Linked DNA regions of Ovis aries. The protein of the gene in region 3 interacts with the protein of the main gene of each other region in a pairwise test. Links are inferred from orthologs where the notes say so. Each region holds a gene or a part of one and is shown on either strand. Other genes may lie near its edges.

Region 1 (10,865 bases), on a different chromosome or scaffold from region 3:
TAGCATCAGGGATTCAGTGGACATGAATCTGAGCAAACTGGGAGATAGTGGAGGACAGAGGAACCTGGTGTGCTGCAGGTAAACTCTTTACTGGGGTTGCAAAGAGTCAGACATGACTTAGTGACTGAACAACTACAAAGAAAAATGTTCACCTTTTTCCTCCTTCAAGTAGTTTTTCAAACATCTTTTTAGTGAGGCCTCCCCTTACAATCTGTTTACAACTGCAACCACTTTTTGCAAGCTTCCTGAGTTGAGGATTTTTTTTTCTCGTTTATTCACCCCTCAGCCTCTAGAACAGTACCTGGGCTGCAGAGAGCACTCAGTAACTATTGTCAGATGAATAAATCTTAACCAAAATTATAACTACACCAGAAGGATGTAGGGACAGAAAACGCCCTTGTTTCTGGTGGCAGTGGAGTGAAAGAATGAAATACTTACATTTTGTATCAGGAAAATGATAGATAAAGCCTAAAACTGAAAATGTAAAGAGGTAGTGACAGAAGCATGTGATTTGGAGATACAAAGTAAATACCAAAAACAAAGCAAAACTGTAAAAGGATTTGTCTCTGGGGAGAGAGAAATGGGAAGACTGTTGGTTTTTCGTTTTCTTAAGCCCTATACTGTCCTTCAATTATTTTAATCTGTGCGCATATGTAGTGGGTTGCATGGTAGCCCCCTAAAAGATATGTCAGTGTCTTAACCTCTGGAAGCAATGAATGCAGTGTTTTTTGGAAAAAGGGTCTTTGCAGATATAATTACAGATTGTGAATAACATTATCCTGGATTATCTAGGTGAGCCATAAATCAAATTGCTAGTGTTCTTTTAAGACAGAGGAGAGAAAGGCAAAGAAAGGAAGGCTGTGTGAAGACAGAAGCAGAGCTTGGAGTGATGTAGCCACAAGCCATGAAGTGCCTGGAGTCACATGAAGATGGAAAAGGCAAGGAAGGATTTTCCCCTAGAGGCATATATGGGAAGGTGGTGCTACTGACACCTTGATCATGGACTTCTGGCCTCCAGAACTGTCAGAGAATCCATTTCTGCTGTTTAAAACCACCCAGGTTTGTGGTAATTTGTTACAGTAGCCCTAGGAATTGAATATAGCCCGAGTATCTGAGATGAAATAAAAATAAGAAACTTTATTGATGTTCTACACCACATGGCTTAAGAGTACAAAAAATAAACATGCAGAAAAAGCACTAGGTGAAACTCAACACCTATTCATGCTTCAAAAAACACCCAACCCTTAATGAACTAGGAAGAGCCCAGGCCTTCCTTAACCTAATAAAAGACATGTATCAAGAACTTATAGCAAGAGATTTCCCTGACAGTCCAGTGGTTAGGACTCCAAGCTTCCACTGCAAGGGGAATGGGTTTGTCCCTGGTCAGGGAAACTCAAGATCGTGCATGCTGCTCTGGGTGGCCAAAACAAAAGAACAAAACCTATAGGAGGCACCATATTGCAAGCATCATACATAGCAGTGAAACTATGGGAACAAGTTTCCCATAGGTCAGGAACAAGACACCATCAGCTTCTATTTACTCCTGTGCTAAATCCTCACCAGAGCAGAAAAACAAAACAAGAAGACAACTTTAATTGCTCCTAGGTCAGCAAGACTGACCCAGGAAAGGGAAAGATTAGAGGTCAACTAAGAGGGAGTAATAGAAGGTGGGTGGAGATGGTTGGTGATGGCTGATGTGCAGGCATAGCAGAGTAGAGCCAGGTCCCCAGCATCCCCAGGCCTGGGAGCCAGAGCAGGGGAAAGGAAAGATGTGGAAGTAGGATGGTTGGGAGCTGACCAGATGAGGTTAGAGCTGAGAGGTTGCTCTCAGTGCTGAGGGGTGTTCCCAGGGGTGATGATGCAGTGCCCACCCCACTGCCCAGCATGGGCAACTCCCTCGCCTCCTCCCCATGGGTGATGACTTCCTTCACAGCAGTCTCCACATGTAAACATCTACACTCATCAGTACAAAAAGCTTCAGCCTTTATTAAATAAAGAGGAGGTAGAAGACAGATGCAGAAACAGACTTGGGACCCCCCTCCTCCTGGCTACACATATACAGACACAGACACAACTGAGAAAAGGACAGGGACATTTCAGGGGACAGACTGAGGGGCAGAGGGAGGCAGCACCCTGCGAGAGTGGGCTCGGACCCAAGGGTGGGCAGAGACCTGGGCCAGCGGCAGGCGTTCTGAGGGGTTATGCTTGAGCAGCTTGGAGATGAGGTCCTGGGCTCCCATGGGCACAGAAGGAGGGAACTTTAGGTCCACCTGCAAGAAGGAGAGACAGGCTTCATCCTAGCTGCTTTTGCCTCCACTTCCCACTCTATTAGCAGGGTTTAACATCAACAGCAACAGTGTGCCCACTCCCTGCCCCAGCCCCTGAGCTGGCACAAACTCCAGCCAGACCCCGGGGGCCAGCCTCCCACCTTGACAATGCGCCGGTACGTCTCATTGTGGGAAGCACTCTCGAAGGGCGGGTTTCCCACCAGCAGCTCGTAGCAAAGCACGCCGATGCACCACAGGTCCACCTTCTCATTGTGCGTGCGCCCCTCAATCATCTCTGGGGGCAGGTAGTCCAGAGTGCCGCACATTGTCTTCCTCCTGGGGTGGGGCGGGGGAAGAGGGGGAGTGGGCAGGGATCTCAGATCCAGACTTTCCCTCCTTTCCCTGCAGCCTGACAGGGAGCCCAGACCGACCACAGGATGTGCCAGGGGTCTTCCAACCAGGCTCTGATGGGGTCTTTGGGGTAGGAGTGGGGCTAGCACACTGACTCTGCATTTCCACACTGAGGGCCGTACCTTAAAATAAATCAGATATGAGGGCAACGTTCACCTTAGAATTATAGGAAGAATTTCAGATGTTCATCAATCACATGTTGCTTAATCACATTACATTTCTACTGTGCAATACTATGAAGCCACTAAAAATGATGTGGGAGTATTCTCAGTGATATGGCAAGAAGGTCCCATTGTTTCAAGTGAGAAATCTGAGTGACAAAACTGAGACTCCTATTTTTGTTTTTGGCCACGCTGCACGGTTTGCAGGATCTTAGTTCCCTCGACCAGGGATTGAACCTGGGCCCCCTGCAGTGAAAGCTGGAGTCCTAACCACTGGACCAGCAGGGAACTCCCAAAGTCTCCTATTTTTGTAAAGATATTGCTGTGTCTATATATTTACATGAGAACAACCCAAAATGTCTCTGGGTAACAAGATCTGAAGTGGTTTTATTTTGAATGGCTTCATACCCAGGGCTGGCCTTCTGGCCCACCATACCTCAGGGAGGGGGCATGCACCGACCAGCCAAAGTCAGCAATCTTCAGCTCACCCCGGAGCCCCAAGAGCAGATTCTCTGGCTTGATGTCTCTGTGAATCACCTTCTTTGCATGGCAGTACGTCAGAGCATCTGCCAGCTCCTCCATGATCTGGGGGGCCAATGGCAGACAGTCAGAAGAGGACTGACCTCAGGCGGCAAATGGCATCCCCCAGCCTCCAGGCCCCTGCCAGTGCCCCAGGTGCCCACCCGCCCCGACCGTGGCTGTTCGCTGCTCATCAAAAGTTCGGCTCTTCTGCAGCTCCTTGTAGAGCTCCCCCTGGGGGGCATACTCCAGAATCAAGTAGATCCTTCGCCGGTCATAGAAATAGTTGTAGAGACGCAAGATGTTGGGATGTCTGGGAGAGGAGACAGAGGAGGCATCAGGCTGCATTCTGGCCTAAGGAAATGGGAAAGATGACAGGTCGCATTGGGGCAAACTGGGTCAGGTCTGGGCCAGGTAGGGGAAGCCAGTTGGCAGTCCTAATTGGGGACCGGAGGTGATTTTCTGGATTCAAGGCTCTGGCTGGGATTGAGAGCTCATTGGGGCTGCGTGGCCACAGCTACAGAGAAGACAGTCTAGATGTGGTGGGGTTGGAGGAGGAGTGGGGTTGGGGCGGCAGGGGCTCTGGCTCAGGGGACGTTGAGCGTACTGGAGATGGGCTTGGATTTCGATCTCTCTACGCAGCTGGTGCTCCACACCCTCCTTCTCGATCTGAGACTTGAAGAGGACTTTGAGTGCCACGATGAAATGGCTTTTCTTCTCCCGAGCCAAGTACACATTTCCAAACTTGCCTTTGCCCAGAGGACGCCCAATCTCAAAGTCATCGATTGTGAAGGAACGCCTGTTTGGGAAGCAGTGGTGGAGCAGCTGAGCAGTGGTTAGTTGGTCCTCTGAGGTGTTTGCCTTCTTTCTGGACCTCTGCCCCTCCTGCCTGCAATCCTGCTTCTCTTCCAGGGGAGCTGAGGATGGATCAGGCTTTCTCACCTGCATCCCTCCTCCTCCTGCCTTTATTCCACCCCGTCCCTTGCTACCTCAAAGCTTGGGGAGCTTACTTTGGGATGTTGAGGGTCCCACTGCTGTTCTCCACCACCTTCTGGCCAGGGGCAGCTAAGGAAAGAACAGGGAAGTTGAGGCCATCCTTTGACATTTTCATCCCCACCCACCCTCTGCAGACCCTAGTTCCCTCAGGTCAGTCCCCTCCCTTTGTGCTAGTTTACCTGTGGGCTGGGCATTGGAGCGACTCATGAGGACAAGCGCCGATGGGATGACAGCCTCCTTCCGGAGAACTCTCTGGGGCAGGGTGTTCAGGCCAGGCTGAGCCTGAGAAGGACCAGAGGGGAGCTCTGAGGGTGCCTTTATCCCAGTGACCGGGTTGGAATGCGCTACAAGCAGCATTTCAGGGCTTGCTATAAAGCCACCCACCTACCCCACCCCATCCCCAGTTCAAAGAGGAACAATGAGGCCACAATTTTGCTACTCAGTCTTGTCCATAACACCACTCATTTACCTAGCCCCCTACCCCAAAGGGCAGTAGAGGCTGGGGTAATGAACACCCACAATTCAAGGAGCTTCAGAACAGAGGTATTCTCACAGTTCCCTAAGCTTGGTCTGTTAAGGCTCAGATAAGATCCTTGGGGCCTTGAGTGTTCAGCAAATCTCAGTATTTACCGCTTTGCAACAACAGGCTTTAGGGAAAGTGAAGGCTATTCTAATTGTCCTGGAGCACTGTCACTGTCAACTTCTGAGTAACACACCACTTTCTTCTGGGAGTGACTGGTGTAGACATGACAGTGTCATCTCATTCAGCCTCCCCATTCAGAGCTTCACCGGGGAGGGAGCTGGTGGACAAGGGGATAGAGGGACCCTCCAGGATACTCAAGCCCCACTAACAGAGAACAAAGCTCATGTAGGGCCCCTTCTTTCTTCTTTAACCAAGAGAGAGCCTCAGTGCTCCTACAGACTTGTTCACAAACAGCGAATTTAGGATTTACAAATAAGCAAGTTGAACAAAATGGAGTCCAGAAATAGATCCACATATATATGGGAATTTAATATATACAATAACGCTAGCATTTCAAATCAGAGGGTAGATTCTTCAATGAAAGGTGTTAGGACAACTGGAAAATAAAGCTTTTTAGACGCATATGTCACACCGGTCATTAAAATCCAAATTCTTAAGTAAGACTTCTCTTGGACCTTTTAAAGTTATAAACTCATCTAAATAGCTTATATCTATTTCCTGCCTAGCCTATTTTTTCAGGACAACAGTTGAGATTCATGGCCTAATAGGCTAGACCCTGCCTGCTCAGTCCCAGACGCCATTTGTATGTGACAAGTAGGCTCAGCTCTGCAGAGGTCCTCACAGGCTGGTCAAATTCAAACTGGCAGCACCAGATAGGATGAGGCTACAAATGACCTGACTGGGGCCCATGCGCTGGTGCAAAGCCAGAAGAAAAGTGCTAAGAGGATCGCCCTCTGCAGGATCTCGAATCTGCAAGCAGGAAGTCGCCATGCTGATGGGGAGAGGGGAAGTGAGAAAGCCCTTACCGTCTGCCGGCCATAGGGCCAGGGGTAGGCGTTCTCCTTCTGGGCCATCCGTAGAGGGAAAGGGGGAAGGAACTGGGCAGAGAAGAGAAATAGAGCCGTGAGAAGCAAAAACAAAAAAAAAGGAGAGAGAGTGAGGGGTCGGATCGATCTAGCCGGAAGTGTTTGCCTGGGGTGGGGGGGGGGGCGAGTTGCTGGTGAAAGGGAGCAAGTCCAAAAGCTGGCTTCATCAGAGCGCATCCCCGCACTCGCCTCTCCGCCCCCACCCTGCTACCGGCCTCACTCCCTTCCAGGACCCTTTCTCCACCCTAGAGCAACCAACCTGCCGGATCACCTGGCCTCTCCCGGAGCAAGAATCCCGAAAGAAACCCGTGGTGCCTTGACCGCTGGCAACAACTGAATCCGTCCGGCCGCGCCTCCTCACCCCCGCCGAGGTCCTTTCAAATCTCCCGCCCGGGTCCCATTGGCTGAGCCTGCCGCCCATGCCCAATTCTCATTGGCTAATTATCCCATGACGTAGCTCCAGAGGCCCAATGGAAAAGGCGGAATGAGAGCCGGGGCAACCAGGGTTTTAACTTGGGAAAAGTTTTCCTCAAGCCTCGAATAGTCTTACTGGTGTTTTGTTTTTAAAATTTAAGTCATCAATATAACCTGGAATTTATTCTTGTGTATATGTATGAACTGGACTTCTGTGGTAGCTCAGCGATGAAGAAACCTCCTGCCAAAGCAGGAGACGCGAGCTCGACTCCCTGTCGGGGCGATCCCCTGGAGTAGGACACGGCAACCCACTCCAGTATTCTTTTCTGGGAAATCCCATGGACAGAGGAGCCTGGCAGGCTACAGTCCATGGGGTCGCAAAGAGTCGGACATGACTGAGCGAAAAGAGAGAGAGAGAAAAAAAAAGCAACTAGGTTTTCTTCCATGAGCCAATCCATCTCCTTCCCTAATTCACTAAGTTACGAGTTTTGGTATTTGCTGTCATAAGCATACTAACCGATACGCATCTACAGATCTAGAGAGTTAACAGTTATTTGGGTTGAATGATGCGATACTGACAATCATCTGACCCACAGAAAACACTAATTTCACATGATTCAACCCAATGTAAATTAAATAAATCCAAATGAGTTTCTACATCAGTTCACAACGCTTTTGGCTGCAAGTAACAGGAAACTCAGTTACCAATGGCACACACAACAGACATCTATTTTCTCTTCCACAACAATAAATCAGAAAGTAGGTAGCTGGCTCAGGAACTGAACAATGTAAGAGGTCTGCATTGACCTCTTCTGTGATTCTCTTAACATTCCCCTTCCGACTTCAAGGTGAATGCCAACTGTCTCTGTTTCTTTTAACAGAAAAAGCAGAAGGCTTCTAAAAGTCCTCATATAGGAATTCCTTGGTGGTCCAGTGGTTAGGACTCGATGCTCTCACTGCTGTGGGCCAGGGTTAAACCCTGGTGGGGAAACTAAGATCCCCAGAAGCCACACGTTGGGGCCCAACTCTTGGTGACCCGATGGGCCATAGCCCACAGGCTCCTCTGTTCATGGGATTTCCCAGGAAAGAATACTGGAGTGGGTTGCCATGTCCTGCTGCAGGGGATCCCCGGGACAGGGAGTCCAACTCCCGTCTCCTGCTGTGTGGGCCTTCCCTATCACATGACTACTGCAAAGGCAGCTGACAAAGTAACTTTGTCTTCCAGCCGCTACAGTTAGAGCAGCTAGGGGCCACAGTGGTAGCCTCAGGTAGCCACAGCTACCTGCAGCGGTAGAAACTGCAGGGTGCCACAGTTGTTTACAGGTTTATTGTTGGGAGCCCATGATTTTTTTAAAGTTGTAAATCTGTGCATGATGTGTCTCTAGAGATTTGATGAATATGGCCACCAGTGAAAAAAGCATTTTGCTTCTGGAAATGTGATGCTGTTTTCACTCAGGGTCAGCCCAACACCACTTCCCAGAATCAGAGATCCCATTTCAATTTCAGTGCCTTAGAGTTTTTTAGTGCCACATATAGAGTAACTAGCTAGTAAAGAGCTTTAGAAAAATCCTATCACTTGCAGTATACTTTATCCCTCATAACCTAGTGAAAGACTTTTCTAGAGCCTGTCAGGGACCTTGTGCATGGGTGGGATATCCCTGATGGATCCCCATACAGTTTCTCTGTCCATTGGAGTCTTTAAATTCCCCCTGCACATTACATCAGAAGACATCTGGCCTTTCAGAAATAGTTGATGGGCCACCACAAAATTGAGATTTGTGTTATTCATAAAACACGAAGCAAAACAAAACCTATCTGCTCTGGCAGCTAGGCAACCATCAGCTGCCTGTTCAAGTTAGTGAACAGAATCTCCATTATTTACCCCAGTGCTTCGCAAATGATCAGTAGGGAAGAACCATTTTTAATTATTTGCAATCTATCACAAATTGATGCTTTTACAACTTACATTAAAAATAAATTCCTTGAAAAAGTATAAAAAATATAAAAATTACAAGAAGACATATTTTTTGGTTGTAACTAGTATTTATAATGGCAATCCACTTCAGTATTCTTGCCTGCAGAATCCCCCATAGACAGAAGAGCTCTGCAGGCTACAGTCCATGGGGTCGCAAAGAGTTGGATACGACTGATCGACTACGCACAGTATAGCACAGTATTTATAAAAGTACTCTGACAAATGCTGTAACAGTTTTAAAAATACCTAACTCTCAAATTCTCTACTCATCCTGAACCTGAAAGTAATATTTCACGAAGTGGCACCAGTCTGTGGACCACAGTGAGTACCACCAATCTGCCTCCAGTGCAGTTCAGTTCAGTTCAGTCGCTCAGTCGTGTCCGACTCTTTGCGACCCCATGCATTGCAGCACGCCAGGCCTCCCTGTCCATCACCAATTCCCAGAGTTCACCCAAACTCATGTCCATCGAGTTGGTGATGCCATCCAGCCATCTCATCCTCTGTCGTCCCCTTCTCCTCCTGCCCCCAGTTCCTCCCAGCATCAGGGTCTTTTCCAATGAGTCAACTCTTCGCATGAGGTGGCCAAAGTATTGGGAGTTTCAGCTTCAGCATCAGTCCTTCCAATGAATACCCAAGACTGATCTCCTTTAGAATGGATTGGTTGGATCTCCTTGCAGTCCAAGGGAGTCTCAGGAGTCTTCTCCAACACCACAGTTCAAAAGCATCAATTCTTCAGCGCTCAGCTTTCTTCACTGTCCAACTCTCACATCCATACACGACCACTGGAAAAACCATAACCTTGACTAGATGGACCTTTGTTGGCAAAGTAATGTCTCTGCTTTTCAATATGCTATCTAGGTTGGTCATAACTTTCCTTCCAAGGAGTAAGCGTCTTTTAATGTCATGGCTGCAATCACCATCTGCAGTGATTTTGGAGCCCCCCAAAATAAAGTCTGACACTGTTTCCACTGTTTCCCATCTATTTCCCATGAAGTGATGGGACCAGCTGCCATGATCTTCGTTTTCTGAATGTTGAGCTTTAAGCCAACTTTTTCACTCTCCTCTTTCACTTTCATCAAGAGGCTTTTGAGTTCCTCTTCACTTTCTGCCATAAGGGTGGTGTCATCTGCGTATCTGACATTATTGATAATTCTCCCAGCAATCTTGATTCCAGCTTGTGCTTCTTCCAGCCCAGCATTTCTCATGATGTACTCTGCATTGAAGTTAAATAAGCAGGGTGACAATATACAGACTTGACGTACTCCTTTTCCTAATTGGAACCAGTCTGTTGGTCCATGTCCAGTTCTAACTGTTGCTTCCTGACCTGCATACACGGTTCTTAAGAGGCAGGTCAGGTGGTCTGGTACTCCCATCTCTTTCAGAATTTTCCACAGTTGGTTGTGATCCACACAGTCAAAGGCTTTGGCGTAGCCAATAAAGCAGAAATACATGTTTTTCTGGAACCCTCTTGCTTTTTTGATGATCCAGCGGATGTTGGCAATTTGATCTCTGGTTCCTCTGCCTTTTCTAAAACCAGCTTGAACATCTGAAAGTTCACAGTTCACGTATTGCTGAGCCTGGCTTGGAGAATTTTGAGCATTACTCTACTAGCGTGTGAGATGAGTGCAATTGTGTAGTAGTCTGAGCATTCTTTGGCATTGCCTTTCTTAGGGAGTGGAATGAAAACTGACCTTTTCCAGTCCTGTGACCACTCCTGAGTTTTCCAAATTTGCTGCCATATTGAGTGCAGCACTTTCACAGCATCATCTTTGAGCATTTGAAATAGCTCAACTGCAATTCCATCACCTCCACTAGCTTTATTCGTAGTGATGCTTCTTAAGGCCCACTTGACTTCACATTCCAGGATGTCTGGCTCTAGGTGAGTGATCACCCCATCGTGATTATCTTGGTCATGAAAATCTTTTTTGTACAGTTCTTCTGTGTATTCTTGTCACCTCTTCTTGATACCTTCTGCTTCTGTAAGGTCCATACCATTTCTGTCCTTTATCGAGCCCATCTTTGCATGAAATGTTCCCTTGGTGTCTCTAATTTTCTTGAAGAGATCTCTAGTCTTTTCCATTCTGTTGTTTTCCTCTATTTCTTTGCACTGATCACTGAGGAAGGCTTTCTTATCTCTCCTTGCTATTCTTTGGAACTCTGCATTCAGACACTTGTATCTTTCCTTTTCTCCTTTTCTTTTTGCTTCTCTTCTTTTCACGGCTCTTTGTAAGGCTCCTCAGACAGCCATTTTGCTTTTTTGCATTTCTTTTTCTTGGGGATGGTCTTGATTCCTACAAATTAAATACAAAATATTTTATTTAATACCCCTATGTTTTACTTCATGGAGAGAACATCAGAGATGATTAAAACCATTAAAAAAATGAACCAAATATAAGAACACGATAATTAAAACACACTTGATCTTTTAAAAAGAGAGAAAATGAAAGGAAAAAGAAAAATCGATTTTAGTTGAAAAATTAACAACCTTTTGGACAGCAGTACAGTTAGCTGTTCAGTTAAGGAACTCTTTGAACCCTGGAACTGGTGTTTCAG
Region 2 (10,249 bases), on a different chromosome or scaffold from region 3:
GACTATGGGGGCAGGCCAACTGGGTCCAGGAGACCTGAGAGGAATACCGTCTGATTTACATATCAGTTCATCCCCCTTTAATTAAGAAAGCTTAGGACCAGACACGACTGTAGTCGCAAAAACCTAGCCTGTCTATGCTCTGCAACTTGCTGACCATCCCAGTGGGCTGGACAAGACCTAGAAGCCTCACCATGTGTTCCTTAGCTTAGCCCTTCCCTTCACCATCCTTTCTTAGTAAAACTGAAGCATAGTTTACAGTGTTGTGTTAATTTCTGCTATACAGCAAAGTGATTCTGAGATATATCTATATCTATATACACATTCTTTTTTATATTCTTTTCACTGAAGTTTATCAAAGGGACTTTTTTTGTTGACTGCTAGAGGTACTGGTAGGCTCTGACATCCCTTTCTATCATAGGATATTGAATATAATTCTCTGTGCTATACAGTAGGACCTTGTTGTTTACAGTAGGACCTTGTTGTTCCCTTCAACCTCTTGACTGATGCCTTTCAGTGATTCTCTCACCTCTCAGATCCCTGTTGAAGTCATGCATTCTCCGAATCTCGCCCTCAAGCTTGTTTCTCATAGCTTTCTCCAGGGCCTCTCTTTTGGAGGATGACTTGACAAGGTTCTCATATGCCTCTGAGACTCGCTGGATTTCTGTCTCCACCTGAACAACAAAAATGAAAGACAGTGATGATGGTAGGAAGTGGATGGGGGAAGAAGATCTGAAAACATATATGCAAATCCTTAATGACAACTTCTCCCAGGGATTTATGGATGGCCAGGAGGCAATCATAACACAGTCAGATAAGAAAAGTTTCCTGAAAAAATTTCTAAGTTCAACCTCAAGCTCAGTAATTAACTCACCAGTCCCCAAGATTTCCTTAGGTTAAAAACAAATATGTTTATCTGTCTTCAGAGAAGGTTGTAGGAGAGGATAAATTTCATAAGTATAGTTACAAATGATTTTCCTTTCCTTTCTTAATTTAGAAAACAATAATAATGTATATAGTTACTGCAAAGCATTCAAAGGGTTTTTATATGTTTATTTCGATCTGGGCTGATATTGGCCTACACAAGATACCTCTCCCCCATTTTAGGAAAGAGAAGACTGAGATGGCCTTTTACTAGAAGGCAGAGACGGAGATGAAAACTAAAAACCCTAAGACTTAGCCTCATTAGTTAGTTCAGTTCAATTTAACAAACATTTACCAGGGGCCAAAAATTACTGGAACTCTTTAAAACACTGTGGGGTGTGTAAATATGAATAAGGACATTACAGCTGCCCTCAAGAAGCTTTCAATCTAATCAAGTAAAAGAATACCAGGAGAAATATGTTATTAAGAAAAGTTGGAGTAGTGTTATAAATTGTAGAGGAGAAAGAGGTTGTTCCTATTTGGGGGTGAAGGGAGAGGAGGATTTCAGGGAGGAGGTGGTATTTACAGTCAGATCCTGAAAGCTGGGTTAAATTTCAATGAGCAGAGGTGAGGGGAAGGGTATTCTATTCTAAGTGAGTGAATGCATTCCCAGAATGACCAGTAGTCTAATTTGGCTGGACACTGTGGGGTACACAGGGAGAAGCTGGTAAGATCTGGCTGCAAAGATAGATTGGAGTCAGATCATAAAAGGGCTTTAATGCCAGGCATTTGGACTTTATCCCATAGTCAATGGGACACCGTAACAGATTTTTTAACAGAAATTCATGATTGGAGTTGTGTTTTATGACACTCCAGCAAATCTTGTAAAAGGTAAACACACACATACACACACAATGTATACACACACACAACCTCAAAGAGAAAGGATCCCGCCCTGAATTAGCCCGAATTGGGAAGAAAATAAGAAATCTGACTCTAGAGTCTCTGTGGAACCAGTAGAGCTTCACTGTACATGTCACAACCACAGAGATATTTGCATATGATTTGTATAAGACAAGTAAACCCCACTGCCTATTAAGTAATTTTCAAGTTAAATCTGACTCCTGCAACCATTCTGCATTCCTTCTCAGCTTTTCACTATCCTCCTTAACAAAGCTCAGGCTACTTTAGGGGGAGAAATATTAGCACCCCTCCCCCCGCCCAGTGAGAGACTCAGGGAAAGGTGGGGTTACCAAACAACTCCGATTGTACCTGCCCCAGCTCCAGCATGATGCCTGAGGCGGGACTGCCTGCAAACAAATGAAGCTTACATCACAGAAAAGAGCAGACTTGAGAATGCTTTTTTCCTTGCAGATGGTACCAAGATAGCAGCACAGAAGGTGAAAACTGGTGAATGGCATTTAGAGACAAGATCTGCAAGGCCTGAGCCCAATAAAGCTTTTGCATGAAATTCAAGTGCTTGGTAGAGAAAATAAACATTTCTATTTGAAAGAGCAGGCTCGGTGCTGGTCTGCTCTGGGCTGTCTTCAGAGTACAAGGTTTTCTAGTGCCCCACGGAGTGCCACACCTGGAAGGCAGTCCCCTTTGTTTATGTTTTTATGGAAGTATATTTGGTGTACAATACTGTAGAAGTTATAGGTGTACAATATAGTGATTCCCTATTTTTAAAGGTTATACTCCACTTATATAAAATATGGGCTATATTCCTCATGAAGTGAAAGTTGCTCAGTCCAGTCTGATTCTTTGTGACCCCCTGGACTATACAGTCCATGGAATTCTCCAGGCCAGAATACTGGAGTGGGTAGCCGTTTCCTCCTCCAGGGAATCTTCCCAACCCAGGGATCGAACCCAGATCTCCCACACTGCAGGTGGATTATTAACCATCTGAGCCATCAGGGAAGCCCAAGAATACTAGAGCGGGTAGCCTAACCCTTCTCCAGTGATCTTCCCAACCCAGGAATTGAATGAGGTCTCCTGCATTGCAGGTGGATTATTTACAAGCTGAGCTACCAGGGAAGCTGGCGATGTGTAATATATCCTTATAGCTTATTTTATACCTAATAGTTTGTGCCTCTTACTCCCCTCCCCCTATGTTGCTCCTCCCTCTTTCCCTCTCCCCACTGGTTATCACTAGTTTGTTCTCTGTATCTCTGAGTCTGCTTCTTTTTTGTTATATTCACTAGTTTGATGTATTTTTTTGATTCCTCATATAAGTGATATCATTCAGTATTTTTTTTCTGACTTATTTCACTTTTCATAATACCCTCCAGGTCCATCCATGTTGTTGCAAATGGCAGAATTTCATTCTCTTTATGCCTGAGCAGTATTCCATCTTCTTTATTCATTTATCTGTTGATGGACACTTAGGTTGCTTCCATATCTTGGCTATCGTACACAATGCTGTTATGAACACTGGGGTGCATGCATCTTCTTGAATGTTTTGTTTTTTCAGATACACATCCAGGAATGGAACTGCTGAGTCATATGATAGTTCTATTTTTAGTTTTTTGGGAAACCTCCATACTGTTTTCCATAGTGGCTACATCAATTTACCTTCCCTTCCTACTGGCAGTGTATAAGGGTTCCTTTTATTCCGCATCCTCATGGAAGGCAGCCCCTTTACTCAAGTTGTTCAGAGTACTATTTCAAGACATTGTACCAATCCTTTCCCAATACCATTTGTAGATACTGCCCCCACTAAAAGGGCAAGTTGTACATCTGTCAACAGGAAAAGGAGACACAGAAGGGCATATCCATCGGTTTGGTCTGTGGTGGGAGGTGAGGGGAGAGAGAGGATGGTGGTGGGTTTCCAGGTTGATTCTATCTACTTATTCCCCTCATGAGCCTCAGGCCTTCTTATTTTTCCCAGCACCAGCTGACATCTACCTTATTCCCCTCATTTGTCCTCTTCTAACCCACCTGTGCCTCTAACCCACTGCAGTGTTGGGTCAGCTTTCACTTCTCCCAGCACTCAAGCTGTCCCAGTTGCACTTGGTTGAGGCATCTTTCCCAATATTGGAGAACAAAACAACCCAGACTCTTCTGCTCCACCTCCCTGCCACCCATCTTCCCCCTCATTAAAAAAAAAAAAATCACTATCCTCTAGAAAAGAGAGTCTGTAGAAGATCTGGGTTCACCCTTTATTTACTATATCAAAGATGGGGCCAGGGCCACCACAAATAAGAGTTTAGGGAGCATTGTCAACTGTTAAACCTAATCAGCCGAACTGGACCAGTCTGCTTATAGTGTGTGAGTACCAATGTGATGGGACAGGGGCAGGTATGAGAGAAGAGGGAAAATTTTAAATTGGGGGCAAAGCCAGTAAGAAACATTTCTCACTCAACAACCCCCATCCATCCAGACTTGGGAACATTAGGCGCGGTAAAGGCATTTTTTTTGTTCCGTAAAAATACTTAGCTGATAATAAGCCCTCCTCTCCTTTAGGACTCAGATCTGGTGTTTACACAGTGTTAGCTTCATTCAGGCCCCTGAAATTTCCACTGTTGGGTGTCTCCTGAGGACAGAGTTACTGAACAATACCAGGCAACCTCCCTTCCCTCCTCCACCTTCATCCTCACATCCCTGAGCAGTCTGCATTGTCTGGGAGATCAAACCAAAGGAGCTCCACAATGACAGAAGTTGCAAAGAGGCTGCCAAAGGCAGAACCCTATTCACCACCAGCCACAGGAAGCTAAGAGCTAAGGTTCCTAGCTTAGGGCACTCAAGACCTAAAGTCCCAGCTGCAAAAGACTCAGGAGGGGCCCAGGGAAGAATGTGAACTTGGGACATACACTTCTTTTGCTACTTCCTTAGCCTCGGGCTGTCACATGTCACCCATCTGTGGTGTGCTAAACCCCTCCTGCTCCCCACACACACCAGAGGAGAGCAGATGTTTCATTTGAGCTAAGGGAAGGACCAACACAAGAAGGGGGGAAAGTAAAGGGCATTGAAAAAGTTACAATGAAAACTACCACTTGGAAAAGTACTCTAGGCCCTTTCCACAACAAGGCAGGTCAGGATCTAACTTCAATGATGAGATTTTTCTGGGAACTATGGATTTATAGTTAAGATTCAAATTCAGTACTTTGTATTTGGAAAAATGCAATCAAAAGGAAAAGTCTTTATGCTGGCAGGTACTTCTCCAAAAGAGCCCTCTCCAGTGTTCTTGACCTTCTGAAGCAGTTTCCCTGCCTTTTGTAATTCTCAAACACTCAGTTAAGCTTTCTTGGGGGCTATGGTTTCTGTGAAATGTTACTTCTAGAGAGGCAGAAGGTTTTTCTAAAGTTTGCTCCATCTAACCTTCAGATATAAGAATCCTGAAGACCCGCCCATATGTCATACAGGGACCCACAAGTGGACACTTTTATATCAATATTAAACAAATAAGATTTCAAAAAGACTCAAATAGCCCCATACGGAGGTCTCACCTTTTGCAGTCTCGCCACCTTCTCATAGCATCCTTCTAACTCCTGCCGCAAGTTCCGGTTCTCATCTGAGAGAATCTCAACCATCTGCTGGGCTCTGGAAACAATGGCAAAAGGGTCGGCTGGCATTGGCTGATATGAAGCAGACGACTGCTGAGCTCGTGGCATAGCGGAATAGCCTTCTCCTGGCTGCTGCTGCTGCTGGTGATGGTGGTGATGGTGTGACTGTGGCTGCTGTTGACTCAGGCCAGGCTGGGGGAGACGGTAATGATCCCCCTGGTGAGCCTGGTTAGGAAGGAAATGCTGCTGTGGCCTAGGCAGGTGAGCCGAGTGGTCTCCTTGGCTGGGGACCAAGGGGTGTTGGGCAGGAGACAATCTAGTAGATGGTGGAGACTGCAGCAAGGGCAAGGAACCCCCAGATGTGAGGGAAGAAGTAGGGCTGTGAGGCTGAGAGTTCCGGGCTGACAAAGGCAATGAGATGTCCTGTGTTGGCCTGGAAAACACGGAGGGTGTACTCAGGTTAAACTCCCACTTGAAGGCACAAGAAAGGGAGATGTGGAGGCTTCTGGGCCCCCAGAACAGGTGCAAAATGAGGAGCAGGCAGGGTTGGACTACAAGGTCTCTCCCAAGACCTCTCCAGTCCCTTCCACACCTGGCCTCCTCTCAATACCTGACCCACAGAGGTGTGATCCTATGGAGGACAGATCAGATGATCTCAAAGGTTGCTTTGTGAAAATCAAAGTAATGCATCCTTATACACTTGTTTCTCAAGTCTAAGCATTTCAAATGCGCCTTTGACAACGTAATTGTCACCTCATGATTTTAAACTAAGCTTTTTCTGGCATCCTGTATATGGCCCTGCACACAGAAAGAGTCACAGAAAGTTCGTTCCACTTGCCCAGAAGGAAAGAGCAAACCGTCATCAAATCTACCCCTCATCTTGTTATCTGCAACTCTCTTTGATAATTCATATAGTCAGAAAAAACTACCTGAGGATATACAGGTACTTACTATATTAGAGACACCAAATAATTATTGTTGATGAGAGTTGTTAATAACTGAATGATGTTTTTTAGCAGCAATAATTCCAAGAGTTGGAAGGGATTATAAGTAACACTATCATACAATTTTGATGTACTGAATCACAAAATGTAACGACTGGAAAGGCCTTAAATAAATTATGTAGTCCAAGTCTGTCAGTGGACAGAGGGGGAAACTGAGGTCCAGAGAGGAGAAGTATTCTGCCAAATATTATAGAATGAGTTAGAAGCAGTGCCAGGGTAGAAGAAGCTAAATGCCATTTTCAGGTTCTTTCCACTACTATTAAATAAAATGCACTGATTTGTAGTGATGTTCAGATTCCCAATCTATTACTTATAGAAAGTTCCAGAAAGAGAACTTTGGCACATGGTTTAATGTGACTTTTCCATTTTGGTACCTAATACTGGACTATGAGCCATTAATGGAAACAGTGTATGCAAATTGATTATTTCCACCATTGCCACAACCAGGAAGAATATGTCAGTATACACCAAACACACACACAAAATGTTCACCTCCCTGCCCCTGCCCAGTTAACCTAATATACTCCCACATCCAGTGGATGCCTGTCCTACAGTTGTTATTTCTCAATCCAGGGAAGACAGATGGCTAAGAGCACAGGATTTGGATCCCAACAGAGTTTGGAGACCTTTCCTACTGCTTACTAGCTGTGTAACCTTGCTCAAGTTACTTCATCTGCATGAGCCTATTTTGCTCCCGAGGTCACAAAAGAATTACTAAAATATTGGGCTCTTCTCAGTGTTGAATTACAAACAGTCACATATCTACCTCCCAATGAGAATGGTTGACCCTGTTAGTGATTTTACTTATGGGATATCCACTTAATCTTTGCACTACATTGCATAAAATTTGTGGCGAAACTGGGACAAATCATCAGGAGCAATTAACTTTTAACTGGCATTCCTGATGCTAAAGCACATTCCCTCCCACACATAACTCCAGTTATCATTACTGTTTATTTATCTATCACTACAAGAGATCCTTACTATGACGGATTTTTACCACTACAAAACCATTCCAAACACTTGCTCACACATACCCAATAACCCAGATGTTCACCAGAGCCCTCAAACCTATTCAAGTTGAAGGTTGTTGCTCAGCCCCATCAGTGGCTCTGGTGTACCCACATTCTTCCAATTTCATGTATCTGTCACTATAAATAATTGCTGAATACTGAAGTGGGCAAACTACTTGTGGACAGAAGAATTTACATGGTTTTCATGATGACGACTGGAAAGTTGCTACCCTACATAACCCTTATGTCTGAGAGTTCAAAGCACTTATGCAATCAGAAGCATGGGAGCTGTTTATAAACTTATGTGGGGGGAGTCTGTCTCCATTTTTCACACTGTGGATCTTTAGTTTCCTCAGAGGTTAAATGGACTATGTACTCTCCTTCCACTTTGAGTAAGAGCTATTATAAATTGGGTTGGCCAAAAAGTTCATTTGAGTTTTTCAAAACATCTTACAGAAAAGCCTGAATGAACTTTTTGGCCAACCCGAGTTAAACTATGGCATCCTGGGATCTGTTAGGGCTTATGTCTCAGGCAGAAAAGAGGGGCTGAAATTTCATGTTCTCTAATCCAGTCCTCAAATTTTAAGGGGAAAATGACAATATTAACGTTCATCCTCATTGCCAGGATGTGTAAACCCAAGGCCTGGGAGGTGTTCTCTTTTAAAGACTGAATGCCCAGCTGTGAACTGGGCTTCCTCCCCTCAGCTCCCCTGGGTCCTACCAGCAACCTAGACCTCTCTCTCAAACAGACCAGCCACTGACCTCTCTCCCACCTGTAGACCGAAAGGCCTCCCCATGCCCTGGACAGAACATGGCCTTGCAGGGGCCTTGTGGAAGGGGTGACCACACGTGCCTGGAAGGAGGCTCCAGAGTTGGATAAGCCCAGAATGGCAGTGGCCATGGCCACGACTGTGGGCTGTGCCTAGAGATAAATGGAGAAGCGGCAGCTGCCTTTCACATTTCCCAGGCTGGAAAAGGAAGCAGATTTCCGTGCACCATGATGTTGGGAAAACTGAGGCAGTCCGACCCTGGCAGGTTTGCAAACACGAAGCAAGGCTTGGGCAGTCGTAAAAGAAGAGAAAGCCCTCCAGCCAACGAACTCCATCTGGATCTCAGCATCCGCCCACCATGAAAAAGCAGAACAGTATTAATGCTTGTGTGAATTCCCCCCTGAGAGAAGGGGACTGAGGAACGACGGGTGTGGGAGAGAGCTGGGGGAAATGTCAGAGGAAGCAAACCTACACTCAAGATAGAGTAATTGTAATAATGGTAATAAGGGTGTCAGCTGGGTGAGTGACACTCTCCCCAGCTCCTTCCACTGACATATTAACCAGGAACAACAAGGCGCGTGCAGACAACAGAATCACATGATCCCATGGAAGCCCTGACCTGCCTCCCTGCCTCTTCCCTCCCTTTGTCCTTCTCCTTCCTAAGACAACCTGGGCCTCCGGTTCTCTGTGGAAAAGAAGACCTGACAGACATGCGGGACAGAAGCCAGGGACCAAAATCAGCATTTCCCCGAAGCCAGGGAAAAGTCCCACCCAGAGACAGCTTGTGAGGACACAAACGGAAAGCAATCGAGTTGACACTGCAACTTATACCCTGCCCCCTCACTGACTGGAGCCCCTACTCTTCCCAGACACATGTCACCCCAACCCCCCACCCCAGCCCCCAATGCACGCAAGACAGTCCTAGCCTACACGTATGCATGCTCCCCCATACACCCTCTCACCAGATCAGGTGCCAACAGCCTGGAACCCAATTTATTCTCCCCACAGAAACTGCCTTTCCCAGGCTCTGTGATGGTCACTCTCTGAAGCCTGGAGAGAGCTGCAAATTCCTGATTGTTTCTCTTGCACAACCAACTCCGCTCTAAGCTACAGAGTTAGGTCACCCTTAGATTCCACTAAACAAGGATTTCAAGAAACCTCAGATCTGGGCACGATGTCAACAACTGAAAGGAGGTGGCTGCTTTACAAACAGAAAGGATTTGATTTTTAAAAGCAGTTGATAAATGCATAAACCCCGGCTGCAGAAAAGGCTCAGCACTTAGACAAAGATTCAACAAACTTTTAATTCTTCAGATGGCCTGGCCTTGTTTCCCATCTGGAGTTCGGGGCATTCAGGATATTTATTTTTTAAGTGGGGAGGAGGGCATAGGGAAAATGAAGTAATAAAAAAGACTGTTTATAACACTGTGTTCATCTTAACAGCAAATCTCTAGCATTTCACAGCACCTCTGAAAAAGAAAATGGCAACCCACTCCAGTACTCTTGCCTGGAAAATCCCATGGATGGAGAAGCCTGGTGGGCTACAGTCCATGGGGTCGCAAAGAGTCAGACACAACGGAGCGTCTTCACTTCACTTCTGAAGGTCAACAAAGGTTTTTTTGGACAACAATTTGCTCAAAGAGCTTGCTCTGAATCTTGATCTGTAATTTGTGGATTAAGAACTAAGTATTTTGTCTTCTAATTGTTTGGTACTAGCAGCAGTTACTTGGAAGGGTACTCACAAACTGTCTAGCTAGTTGGTTTAAAGGAAATAAAGGAGGAAAAACATGCCTTCACCTAAAACGGTACATTTATGGAAAGCCATTCAAGGTCCTCCCCTTGGCAGGCATTCGTCAACATGTGCCACACCCTCACCTCAGGCTCTGCAAAAATTTTATTGCCAGTTTGTCTGCTGCAGACCCAAAACTCACAAAGAGCATCTTCTGATTAGGACTGTTTTAGGCTTGACTTTTCATTGAGCATGGGCTTTCCAGGTAACTCAGTGGTAAGGAATCTGCCTGCAATGCAGGAGGTGTAGGTTCAATCCCTGGGTAAGAGGGATCCTCTGGAGAAGGGAATGGCAACCCCCCAGTATT
Region 3 (10,791 bases):
TCTAGGACTCAGAGGAGCCAGGCTCAGGGCACTCAGAAGGCAAGAAACATTTCCCTTGTTGGGCAGGGTGGAAGGATGGGTACTTGAGGGCTTCAGATAGAAATTTGACAATCCAACTGAAACAAGTCCCCTCAGCAAAGAGTTGTAAGGAAGGGGAAGCCTAGAGCCAGAAGAGTTGCTTTAGAAGAATGAACTTAAAGAATCCACCACCTCCAGAGGAGTAAGGATGAGTCCACGAACCCCTCTGCCCAACCCTCACCCTTCAGGCACCCAAGAAGGCCAAGAGAAGGGCAGCGGCAGAGGGCGGAAGCTCCAATGTCTTCTCCATGTTTGATCAGACCCAAATCCAGGAGTTCAAGGAGGTAAGTGTGGGGAGAAGGGAGACTGAAGGCTAACCAAAGGCACCCCTTGCTGCCCCTCCCCCCACCCCTCCCTGGAATGTGCACCTGTTTGGGGGAAGGAGAAGGGCTTAGATTCCTTACTCCCCTCCCTGCTTGGAGTGTAAGAGGACCTCTGGCTGGCAACCAGAATCTCAGAATCTGATCTGCCTGGAGTAAGGATGCTGAAACTTGGCCATGGGAGACCTAATCTCTCCTTGCCTCTGCCCTCCACAGGCCTTCACAGTAATTGACCAGAACCGGGATGGCATTATTGACAAGGAAGACCTGCGGGACACCTTTGCAGCCATGGGTGAGCTGCCTCCTCTACCTGTAAAGATTCAAGGCTGCAGAGTCCTGGGAGTTCAGCAGCTGTGGGTCCCAGTCCTGCCAGGCCACCTTGGGACTCAGTCTATCCCGGATAAAATTGGATGGGATAAAAAAATAAAAATGGATGGGATGATCTGAATTTATAGGAAGCATTATTCTCTGGCTGCAAGACCCCACTCCAGCCCCTGCTTTCCCAACCCTGTTCCAGGGCGTCTCAATGTGAAGAATGAGGAGCTAGACGCCATGATGAAGGAAGCCAGTGGGCCCATCAACTTCACTGTCTTCCTGACCATGTTTGGGGAGAAGCTCAAAGGTGAATGAAGTATGATGTGTCCTTGGTCCAACACCTCAGCTGCCTCTCCTCAGAACTTTCAGGGACTGACCCTTTAGCAACCTTTCAGCTACATGTGCCCTCTGACCCCCTCTAGGTGCCGACCCTGAGGATGTGATCACTGGAGCCTTCAAGGTCTTAGACCCTGAGGGAAAAGGCACCATCAAGAAGCAATTGTAAGTGACACGCTCCAGCTGCTCCCACACAGAAAGCCTCTTTCAATTCCCACCAATAACAGGCACTGCCAGTGATAAGGGTGGCTCAGACAGTAAAGAATCTGCCTGCGCAATGCAGGAGACCTGGGTTTGATCCCTGGGTTGGGAAGAACCCCTGGAGGAGGGCATAGTAACCCATTCCAGTATTCTTGCCTGGAGAATCCCTTGAGAAACTCTTCAGAGGAATCTGGCAGGCTACAGTCCATGCGGTCTTAAAGAGTCGGACACGACTTAGCGACTAAGCACCGCACAGCACAGGGATAAGGGAAAAATCAGGACTGTGGAAATGGGCGATGGAACACAGGAAGAAGGGCAAAACGGGAGGTCAGAGTGTTTGGGAGACCAATGAGGAATCCAGAGTGACCCTGGTTTTCAAGATGAGACTGGGAATGGCAAGGGGGATGAGGTGGGAGGGCGTGGAAAGGAATCACGAAGTCCAGTCTCAAACCTCCCGTATATCAATCACCTCTCTCCAGCCTGGAGGAGCTGCTGACCACGCAGTGTGACCGCTTCTCCCAGGAAGAGGTGAGTGGAGGAGGGGTCTGGAGAAGCGGAAGGATGGGGGAAGGGGAACGTAAGGAACCAGTTGGTGATACTCTGCCTGTTTTCCACAGATCAGGAACATGTGGGCTGCCTTCCCCCCCGACGTGGGCGGCAACGTAGATTACAAGAACATCTGCTACGTCATCACGCATGGCGACGCCAAGGACCAGGAGTAGAGCGGACCCTTTTCGGCCTCTGCTAGTCAAAGCCTTCCTGCCAGTCCGATCTCCCCACCCAGACTAATAAATTGAAAGGGTCTCGTTTCTTATCCGCGGCGCCTTCAGTGCGTTTGTGTGAATGGGATTCAGGTGGGAGGCTGGGCAGACACACCGGCTGGCACGAAAGGAGTGCCCAGCAAATGAATTAATAAATGGTGGCCCGGAGGCCTGGGTGGAGCGGTTCCACCCGCTAAGCTCGCACTTATTCCCGCTGGGAAAGAGAAGACTTGCGTGCCCTCAGAGAAACTCAGTTTTTATTGAAGTCACGGATAGGGAGAAGTGGGGAGGGGATGCGGGTGTTCAGGGTTGGAAGAGGAGGTCGCGCTCCAGAAGTGAGCTCGGGCGGAGCCAAAGGCGGGGCTACAAATTCCAGGATTGGGAGAACCTGAGAACCCGCCCCTTTGAAGGGCGGGCCTTACAGGCTGGGGCTCCGGGATTAGGCGCCTGGCAGCCTGGGGCTCAGGGATTGGACAAGAGACGAACCGAAGGCGGAGGCGAGGTAGAGAAAGCCCCGATGGGGGCCTCAGAGAGCGTCGGACTGCTCGCCTTGAGCCTGGCTCAGCTGCATCTGGGCCTGCATCTTCTCCAACATCTCTTGCATGCGGCGCAGCTGTGCGGGGCAAGATTGCAGGCATTGGGTCCGGACGAGGCCAGAGAGGGGCTCCAAAGAGGACTTGGGAGTCTTGGTCTGGGGGAAATCTCACCTCTTCGTCTTTCTCGCGAATCAACTTCTCCGTGTCTGCCAGAGGCAGCATGGGCAGCGGGATCTCTGTGGCGCTTTGGCGGGAAAGCTTACTAGGGGATGGGAGAGAAGGCAAGGAATCAAAGGCGAGGGCCTTGGTTGAGTCATCGCTGCAAGACAGGATCTGGAGTTAGTTTGGAGTCTAAGATGCGGAGCCATATCCTTAGGTTAGGGAGGTAAGCAAAGGGGATGGGGAAAGAAAGGCCCTGGGAGAGAGGTCTAGAAGGTGAAGTCGAGGTCATGGAGAGGGAGGGTGGGGCCTTGGAAGCACCTAACTCTCCGCGCTGGCTCTCACCTACGGCTGGCTCGATCCCGCGCCCCAGGCCGGGCCAGGCTCTGTAGGCAGCGGGCCCGGTAGCCCTCGTAGAGCAGGTCGTGCGTCACCTCCTTCAGGTCCTGCAGGTGTGTCTGCACGAGCATCCGTCGCAGGTTCAGGAAATCGCAGTGATGTGGATTCTCCACTGGGGGGCGGACCCGCGAGCGTCAGGGAACTTAGATCGGGTGGGCTGCCCAAGGACCTCTCTTGGGGCTCCTAGGACCCCTGGGACCAGAACTTTCCCCAACTTCACATGTTGGGTACGGTTAGCTGGGAGGCGGCCTGGGCTCCCTGCTGGCCTCAGGACGCGTACCCGGCCTTAACTTACCCTCTACAGTGCCCCAGGAGTAGTGGCGTCCTCTCACCGGTCGGGGCCCGCCATCCCGCACTACTTCGCAGGAACCGACGACGGCAAAAGGGATGCTTTCCTAGAGCGGAGGAGTCAGCGATCTCCATCCTTTCCCCTTCCCGTGGACAGAAACCTTTCTCAGCTCCCACCTCCACATCCGCCTCCCCTGGCTTCTCAGTCTTGTCCTGTTTTGCCTCTGTACCTTCATCTCCGCATCCTGCCTCTTGAAGTCTTCATCCTCATCAGAGTCACATTCGGGGAACTGGTAAATATTGATCTCTTCCTCCTTCAACTGTTCCCGGATCTTGGAGGAGACAAATGCAGACAGAAACACAGAGGCTGTGAGCCACAAAGGCCACCAGAGACAGTGAAATCTAGATACAGACACAGGATGAAAGAGACAGAGAGGAAGGCGTGAAAAACAAAGATGGTGAGAGATGGGCATCCAGGAAGACTGAAAACAAAATCTCAGACGATGAAAGAGACATGCTGCTGCTGCTAAGTCGCTTCAGTCGTGTGCAACCCCATAGACGGCAGCCCACCAGGCTCCTCCATCCCTGGGATTCTCTAGGCAAGAACACTGGAGTGGGTTGCCATTTCCTTCTCCAATGCATGAAAGTGAAAAGTGAAAGTGAAGTCGCTCAGTCGTGTCCGACTCTTACGACCCCATGGACTGCAGCCTACCAGGCTCCTCCATCCATGGGATTTTCCAGGCAAGAGTACTGGAGTGGGGTGCCATTGCCTTCTCCATGAAAGAGACATAGAGGATGAAAAACTGAGACCTTACCCTAGGAGGGAAAAGACTGATGTTTGGGAAGTTTTGAAGGTGAGCAGACACCAAAAGACCAGGAGAGAGAGACATAAGTGGAAACAGTGGGAGAGGGCGCTGAAGAAGTGGGGAAATGGGGGCATGGTGAGCATCCTGGGGCCAGACGGATAACATGGGTCGTTATGTCCATACTCCTGCCCTCAGACAGATCTTAGCCAAGCATCCAGCCCAGGGATTCTATTCTGAGCCTCCAGAGATGTGGCTTCCTGAGGCAGCTTATGACCCACCTTTCTCAAAAACTTTCTTCCAGTCTAGCCTGACACATCACGCTCCGAAAAGGCTACCCCAAGATCAAAGAAGTCAAAGCTGAGTTCAGCTTTTGTCATGACTTGGCTTCATGTGCAGACCAAAGGTCAGAAGCCACCACACATACCTTCTGTTTGAGGGCCTGTGTTTCCTTTGGCATCAGGGCATCTGCTTTGCCAATGACCGGGATGATGTTGACCTTCTCGTGCACCGCCCGGAGGAAGGCCACATCTAGGGGACGGAGCCTGCACCCAGAAATTCATCAGGGCTCAGTTTCAGGGCACAGAGACCCACCCCCCGCCCCCCGCCCTCCCCAAATGTCCCAACCCCCTAGGGTGTCCCACAGACCCCCGGCCAAAGGGTGAGATGAAGTAGAGGCAGCAGTGGACACGGGAATCCTGGATGTTCTTCCGGTTCAGGCCACTCTCATCCCGAAGATACTGCTCAAACTGCTCCTCGATGAAGCGCACCACAGGCAGCCAGCTGGGGGTGCAGGGAGAGTGCCGGCAGTCAGAGATCTGGACCGCAGTGGAGGGCAGGGGGCAAAGCTAGCCAGGACTGTGGGGGTGAGAAGCAGGGTCTTTGGCTTCAACCAAAGATGTCAGAGGGAACTGGCAGGTGAGATGTTGGGAAACACAAGGCGTTTTGGGCCCCAAGACCACCAGAAACAGCTCCTGCTGTTGCAGGGACGTGAGTAGGGCAGGGCAGACCAGCCCTGAATCCGACCCCTCGATCTCAGAGTAGCCACACTGGGAAGCTGAGCCCTGGGCTCTCCCCCATTCCTCACCAGTCTGAACAGTCCACTGAGTCCCCAAAGCCAGGCGTGTCCACCACAGTCAGCTTCACCTTAATACCCCCCTCCTCGATCTCCACGCCCCGGCGCTCGATGGTCAGGGTTTGCGTCAAGCGAGCTATGAGGATGGGGAGAGGTCAGGGAGCTGGCGAGGGGTCTGAAGCAGGACTAATTTCCTTTCTCAGACTCACAGTTGCCCCCCACCCATTTTTCAGGGGAGGAGACTGAGTCTCAGAGAAAAGCAGTGAGCTGCCTGAGTTCCCCAGAATGTCATGGGAGACCCAGAAGGAAAGGAAGAGTGTGCAGTCTGGGAGGAGAGGGGTCAGAGGGCGTGGGCAGCGTGGTGAGGAGAGGGGCATCTTACCACTGGCTTCTGGTATTTGCCGATCCTCATAGAGGTTGGTGAGAAATAGGCTGTTGATGAGGGTAGATTTTCCCAGGCCTGACTCCCCTGTGGACAGGTCAAGCCCAGCTGGTCAGGTGAGGGGACAGCCAAGGTCTCTTGAGGACCCCCTACCAGGCCCCTCTCCAAAACCCTCAGACCTGCCACCATGAGTGTGAAGTCAAAACCCTTCTTGACAGACTTGCGATGCAGCTGGTTGGGGAGGGCGGCAAACCCCACATACTCCTTGTCCTGTTGGTGAGGGTGGACGATATGAGGCTGCTGGGGGTGGCAGGCAGGGTCCCCCAGTATGACCTGATCTCAGAGGCTAGGAGAAGTCAGCCTACTGTGGGTGGACCTGGACCTGGCTACCCTGGGGTCTGGGGACGGAGAGATGCCTGGATTCCTGGGCGTAAGGACTCACCATGGCCCCGATAGCTGTTGCTGCACCTGATAGCTCTCCCCACTTCCTCTGGTGGGGCAGGAAGTTGAGGGCGGCAAACAAGGGGGCGGGCAGTATAGGATCTGAGATGCTCCAACTGGCCCAGAGAGTGGGGAAAACCAAGATCGAGAACAGCTGGTTCTCGATTCTTGGGTCCTTTTGCCCATCACCCTGATAGGAAGCCTCAATCCCTCTGTTTTTTCTACACGTTTATTCCAAGCCCCGCTGTGGCCCCATCACCCTGATGGAAGGTAGGGTTTAAGCAGAGAGGAAGGAAGTGGGTTGGTCTCTCTAGCAAGTGAGGTGAAGGCTTGGATAAAGACAGTTTAAAACAGTTTCAGCCTGGTGCTCTGTGATGACCTCGAGGGGTAGGATGGGGGTGGGGTAGGGAGAAGGCTCAAAAGAGAGGGGATATATATATATACTTATGACTGATTCATGCTGTGGTATGGCAGAAACCAACACACCATTGTAAAACAATAATCTTCTAATTAAAAAATAATAAAATTTTAAACAATTTCCAAGGGTCTGAGTGGACCAAAAGCAATAAGATTGAGGGTAGGAGGGACTATCTATTTTCCTCCCCAGCTCATGCACTGGATTCTTAAAAAAGGACTTCAGGTCTTTGGATTTTACTGCCAGAGAGTCTGCCTTCAGAATCCTAGCGAAGGCACTCCTCTGCTCAAAACCCTTCACGGACTTCCCGGTGATCTTAATCAAGTCTGAGAGTCCTGGCCAAAGCCTCCTGCATCTGACCTCATCACCTCCTCTGATTCGCCCTTGGCAAGTGCCCACATCCTTGGCTCTGTCTACGATTTTGTTTATTTTTGCCTGTGCTGGGTCTTAATTGCTGCAAGGGCTTCTCTCTAGTTGGGACGTACAGGCTTCTCATTGCGATGGCTCCTCTTGATGCAAAGCACAGGCTGTAGGCGCAAGGGCTTCAGGAGTTGCAGCTCCTGGGCTCTAGAGCAGTCTCAGTAGTGGTGCACAGGCTTAGTTACTCCTTGGCATATGGGATCTTCCCAGATCAGGGATGGAACCCATGTCTCCTGCACTGACAGGTGGATTCTTTACCACTGAGTCACCAGGGTAGCACCCTTGGCTCTGTCTATATTGGACTTTTCCTTCTTCTGCACCAGGTGAACTCTGTCTTTCAAGAGTTTGATTCAAAGGGTTCTTCCTCCTTTATGAAATCTTCCCCACCCACAAAAGGAAGAGTCATTTTCCGTCCTCTGGACTCGCCAGCACCTTTCATAGCCCCTCCAATGCCCACCTTTGCTTACCTGGCTGTCTCTTCTACTCCTGGCTGAGCTTTCTGAGGGCAGGAACTATGTCTTCCTAATGTTTACATCCCTGGTGTCTTGCACAGGGCCTTCGTGGTGCCAATAAATAATATACCAGATGAATGAATGCATGAAAGAGTGAGTGATTGAAATTAGTTAGGGAAAAGGCAGGGAGGCTACAGAATGTGTAAAAGGAACTTGTCTTTGGAGTCAGAAAGAACTTCCCAGACCTCAGTTCTACCACTTGCTGTGTGATCTTGGGCAAGTCATTTGCCCTCTCTGAACTCCATTTTTTTCATAGTAAGATGAAACGCACACACTTAGACTTTTTATCAGGAATCAGTGATTTTGGATGACACAGGCTTTGGAGCTAATCATTTATGTAAACAACATACCATATATACATATATATATTAATATATATGTACACCTGTTGTTGTTGTTTAGTTGCTAAGTTGTGCCTGACTTGTTTGCAACTCCATGACTGTAGCCCACCAGGCTCCTCTGTCCAGGCCAGGTAAGAATACTGGAGTGGGTTGCCATTTCCTTCTCCAGGAGATCGTCCTGACCCAGGGATCGAACCTGCATCTCCTGCTTGGCGTGCATGTGCACGCGCACGCGCGCGCACACACACACACACACACACACACACACACACACACACACCCCAACTTTAGAACTTATAAACTGAATGATCTCTCTGAACCTTAATATGACCTATAAAGCACTGTTTGGTCTATGTGTGTGTGTGCGTGTGCGTGTGTGTGTTAGTCATTCATTCGTGTCTGACTCTGCAACTTCATGGGCTATAGCCCACCAGGCTCCTCTGTCCATGAGATCTTCCTGACAAGAATACTGGAGTGGGTAGCCATTCTCTTCTCCAGGAGATCTTCCCGACCCAGGGATAGAACCTACGTCTCCTGCATTGCAGGCAGATTCTTTACCATCTGACCCACCAGGGAAGCCCATTGCTTGGTCTGGATCCTGCCTATTGCTTCAACCCCATTTCTGTCCTTCACTCCTTGTGGTTCTATTTTTCATTTCCCATTTAGCCCCTGTTGTGTCCCCCCTCCCACCTTCATGTGTTGGAGCCCTTACCCCCATGACTATATTCGAAAGTAAGACCTTTAAGGAGGTAATTAAGGTTAAATGAGGTCAGGAGGGTGGGGCCCTGATTGGATAGATCTGGTGTCCTTATAAGAAAAGACACCAGCAATCTCTGCGCATGCACAGAGAAAAGGCCATGTGAAGACATAGTGAGAAGGTGGCTGTCTGCAACCCAAGAAAAGAGGCCTCACCAGAAACAGCCTCTGCTGGCATTTTGATCTTGGACTTCCAATCTCCAGAATTATGAGAAAATATATATCTGTTGTTTAAGACTTCTAGTCTGTGGTTCTCTGTTATGCCAGCCTGAGTTAATACAGCCCCATAGCACCCTCCTTTATCCTAAGGCAACCACTCTAATGTGCACAATGTGTAATGGTTTTTTTTTTGTTCGTATATATTTTGAAAAATGTGTAGTTCACGGTACACAAATGTTTACAGAAATAGTTGTATGTGTTTGCATATGTGTTATATATATGTTATGTATGTAATGGGCTTCCCTGGTGGCTCGGAAGGTAAAGAATCTGCCTGCAATGCAGGAGACCTGGGTTCAATCCCTGGGTTGGGAAGATTCCCTGGAAAAGGGAACAGCTACCCACTCCAGTATCCTGGTCTGCAGAATTCCATAGACAGAGGAGCCTGGCAGGGTACAGTCCATGGGGCCACAAAGAGTTGGACATGACTGAGCGATTTCCACTATGTATGTAATACATGTACATAGTACACAAATGTTTACACAAATAGTAGTGTAGTAGTGAAAGACATTCAGTCGTGTCCGACTCTTTGCAACCCCATGGACTATACAGTTCGTGGAATTTTCCAAGCTAGAGTACTGGAGTCGGTAGCCTTTTCCTTCTCCAGGGCATCTTCCCAACCCAGGAATCAAACCCAGGTCTCCCGCATTGCAGATTGATTATTTACCAGTTGAGCCACAGTTATCTGTGTTAATATATATTTCTACTTATTAATTTATTCAGTTAGCATTAACTTTCAAGATCCATCCATGCTGACATCTTATCCTTGTTTCAAGCTCATTTTTATTATATATATGTATATTTCAAATTATTAATTTTTGGCTGTGCTGGGTCTTAGTTGCTGCACGCAGGCTGTCTCTAGTTGCAGCGAGTGGGGCCTACTCTAGTTGCTGAGCACAGCCTCTAGAGTGTGGGCTTCAGCAGTTGTAGTGCCTGAGCTCTGTAGTTGTGGCACACGGGCTTAGCTGCCCCATAGCATGTGGGATCTTCCCAGACCAGGGATCAAACACGTCTTTTGCAGGCAGATTCAAAACCACTGGACCACCAGGGAAGTCCTTCAGCCTCATTTTTAGTACTCCCTTTCTGTAACCCTGGGAAAACCACCCCTCTGGCCCTTACTTTCCTCATCTATCATATGGGATTGCATACTCCTGCCACACTGAATTCACAGAAGTTGTTCCAAGTTTCATATGCTTATGTAGGGATTAAGAGCTGTGTGATCCTGACCATCTTACTTTAACTTTCCTGAGATTTCGTTTCTGTATCTGTTAAATGATTCATTAATAATTTCACCTCATAGGGCCATGATGAGGATTATCTGTCTGATACACATAAAACTTAGCAGCGCCTGACATAAAAGATGAGCTTGAATGCTAGCTCTTGCTATGATGTGAGCTGAGAGGTGTGACAGTGCCGATAGCTCCAACCTAGCGACTGCTCTTCTGGGTCAGTTGCTGAGAATCCAGACGGAGTGAAATCAGTCAGGGTTGCCGCCCTCTGGGGAGACGGAGACAGCCACAAGTGTGACACACAGCACTGGTGCTAAAAATGTAGTGTAATAAAGAGATAAACAGAGTACTTTGAGAAGCCGAGGGATGGGATAATTACACCCTTCCCCTGCACCACAACTCTTCCTCCTACACTTCTCATCAGGCTAAGCAGCCCTACCGTTTTAGTTAAAACTCTGAACGCCTCCCTCCCTTGCCCTCTGCAAATATATTCAGTTGATTTTCAAGTCCTTTCTACTGATGAGAAAAAGCAGCCCTTCCTACCTACATCCCTCACTGTTTTGCCCCTGCCCTGGTTTCAGACTCGAATCAGGCTCTTCCCCGAATTACTCAACAACCTTTAAGAAAATAACATGGACACACCTGTCAGAATGGCTATCATCAAAAAGACCACAAATAACAAATGTTGGCAAGGATGTAGAGAAAAGAGAACCCTCGTACACTGTCAGTGGGGATGTAAATTGGTGTAGCCAATGTGGAAAACAGTATGGAGGGTCTGTAAACAACTAAAAATAGAACCACCATGTGA

The links.
Region 1: the proteins of SEPTIN1 (region 3) and AURKB interact in binary tests that used the Homo sapiens proteins (3 or more experiments, as listed by UniProt). The link is inferred for Ovis aries from reciprocal best matches to the Homo sapiens genes SEPTIN1 and AURKB.
Region 2: the proteins of SEPTIN1 (region 3) and AMOT interact in binary tests that used the Homo sapiens proteins (3 or more experiments, as listed by UniProt). The two-hybrid records come from large-scale screens. The link is inferred for Ovis aries from reciprocal best matches to the Homo sapiens genes SEPTIN1 and AMOT.

What each region holds. Positions count from the first base shown.
Region 1 is NC_056064.1:27,651,121-27,661,985, forward strand, and holds AURKB (aurora kinase B), read right to left. Parts: upstream 6,275-10,865; 5' UTR 6,183-6,274; intron 5,936-6,182; 5' UTR 5,912-5,935; coding exon 5,864-5,911; exon of another isoform or gene 4,637-5,863; coding exon 4,534-4,636; exon of another isoform or gene 4,424-4,533; coding exon 4,369-4,423; exon of another isoform or gene 4,158-4,368; coding exon 3,966-4,157; exon of another isoform or gene 3,672-3,965; coding exon 3,533-3,671; coding exon of another isoform or gene 3,523-3,532; exon of another isoform or gene 3,425-3,522; coding exon 3,276-3,424; exon of another isoform or gene 2,604-3,275; coding exon 2,429-2,603; exon of another isoform or gene 2,271-2,428; coding exon 2,097-2,270; 3' UTR 1,963-2,096; downstream 1-1,962. UniProt on the Homo sapiens protein: Serine/threonine-protein kinase component of the chromosomal passenger complex (CPC), a complex that acts as a key regulator of mitosis.
Region 2 is NC_056080.1:121,854,154-121,864,402, reverse strand, and holds part of AMOT (angiomotin), read right to left. Parts: exon of another isoform or gene 9,116-10,249; intron 5,800-9,115; coding exon 5,310-5,799; intron 672-5,309; coding exon 527-671; intron 1-526.
Region 3 is NC_056077.1:27,080,437-27,091,227, forward strand, and holds SEPTIN1 (septin-1), read right to left. Parts: upstream 6,162-10,791; 5' UTR 5,843-6,161; coding exon 5,833-5,842; intron 5,741-5,832; coding exon 5,654-5,740; intron 5,408-5,653; coding exon 5,284-5,407; intron 4,980-5,283; coding exon 4,845-4,979; intron 4,742-4,844; coding exon 4,624-4,741; intron 3,726-4,623; coding exon 3,624-3,725; intron 3,501-3,623; coding exon 3,401-3,500; intron 3,218-3,400; coding exon 3,052-3,217; intron 2,810-3,051; coding exon 2,719-2,809; intron 2,625-2,718; coding exon 2,538-2,624; 3' UTR 2,247-2,537; downstream 1-2,246. Other genes in the region: MYL11 (myosin regulatory light chain 11), read left to right, coding at 327-362, 615-690, 916-1,020, 1,136-1,214, 1,730-1,778, 1,868-1,972. UniProt on the Homo sapiens protein: Filament-forming cytoskeletal GTPase. May play a role in cytokinesis.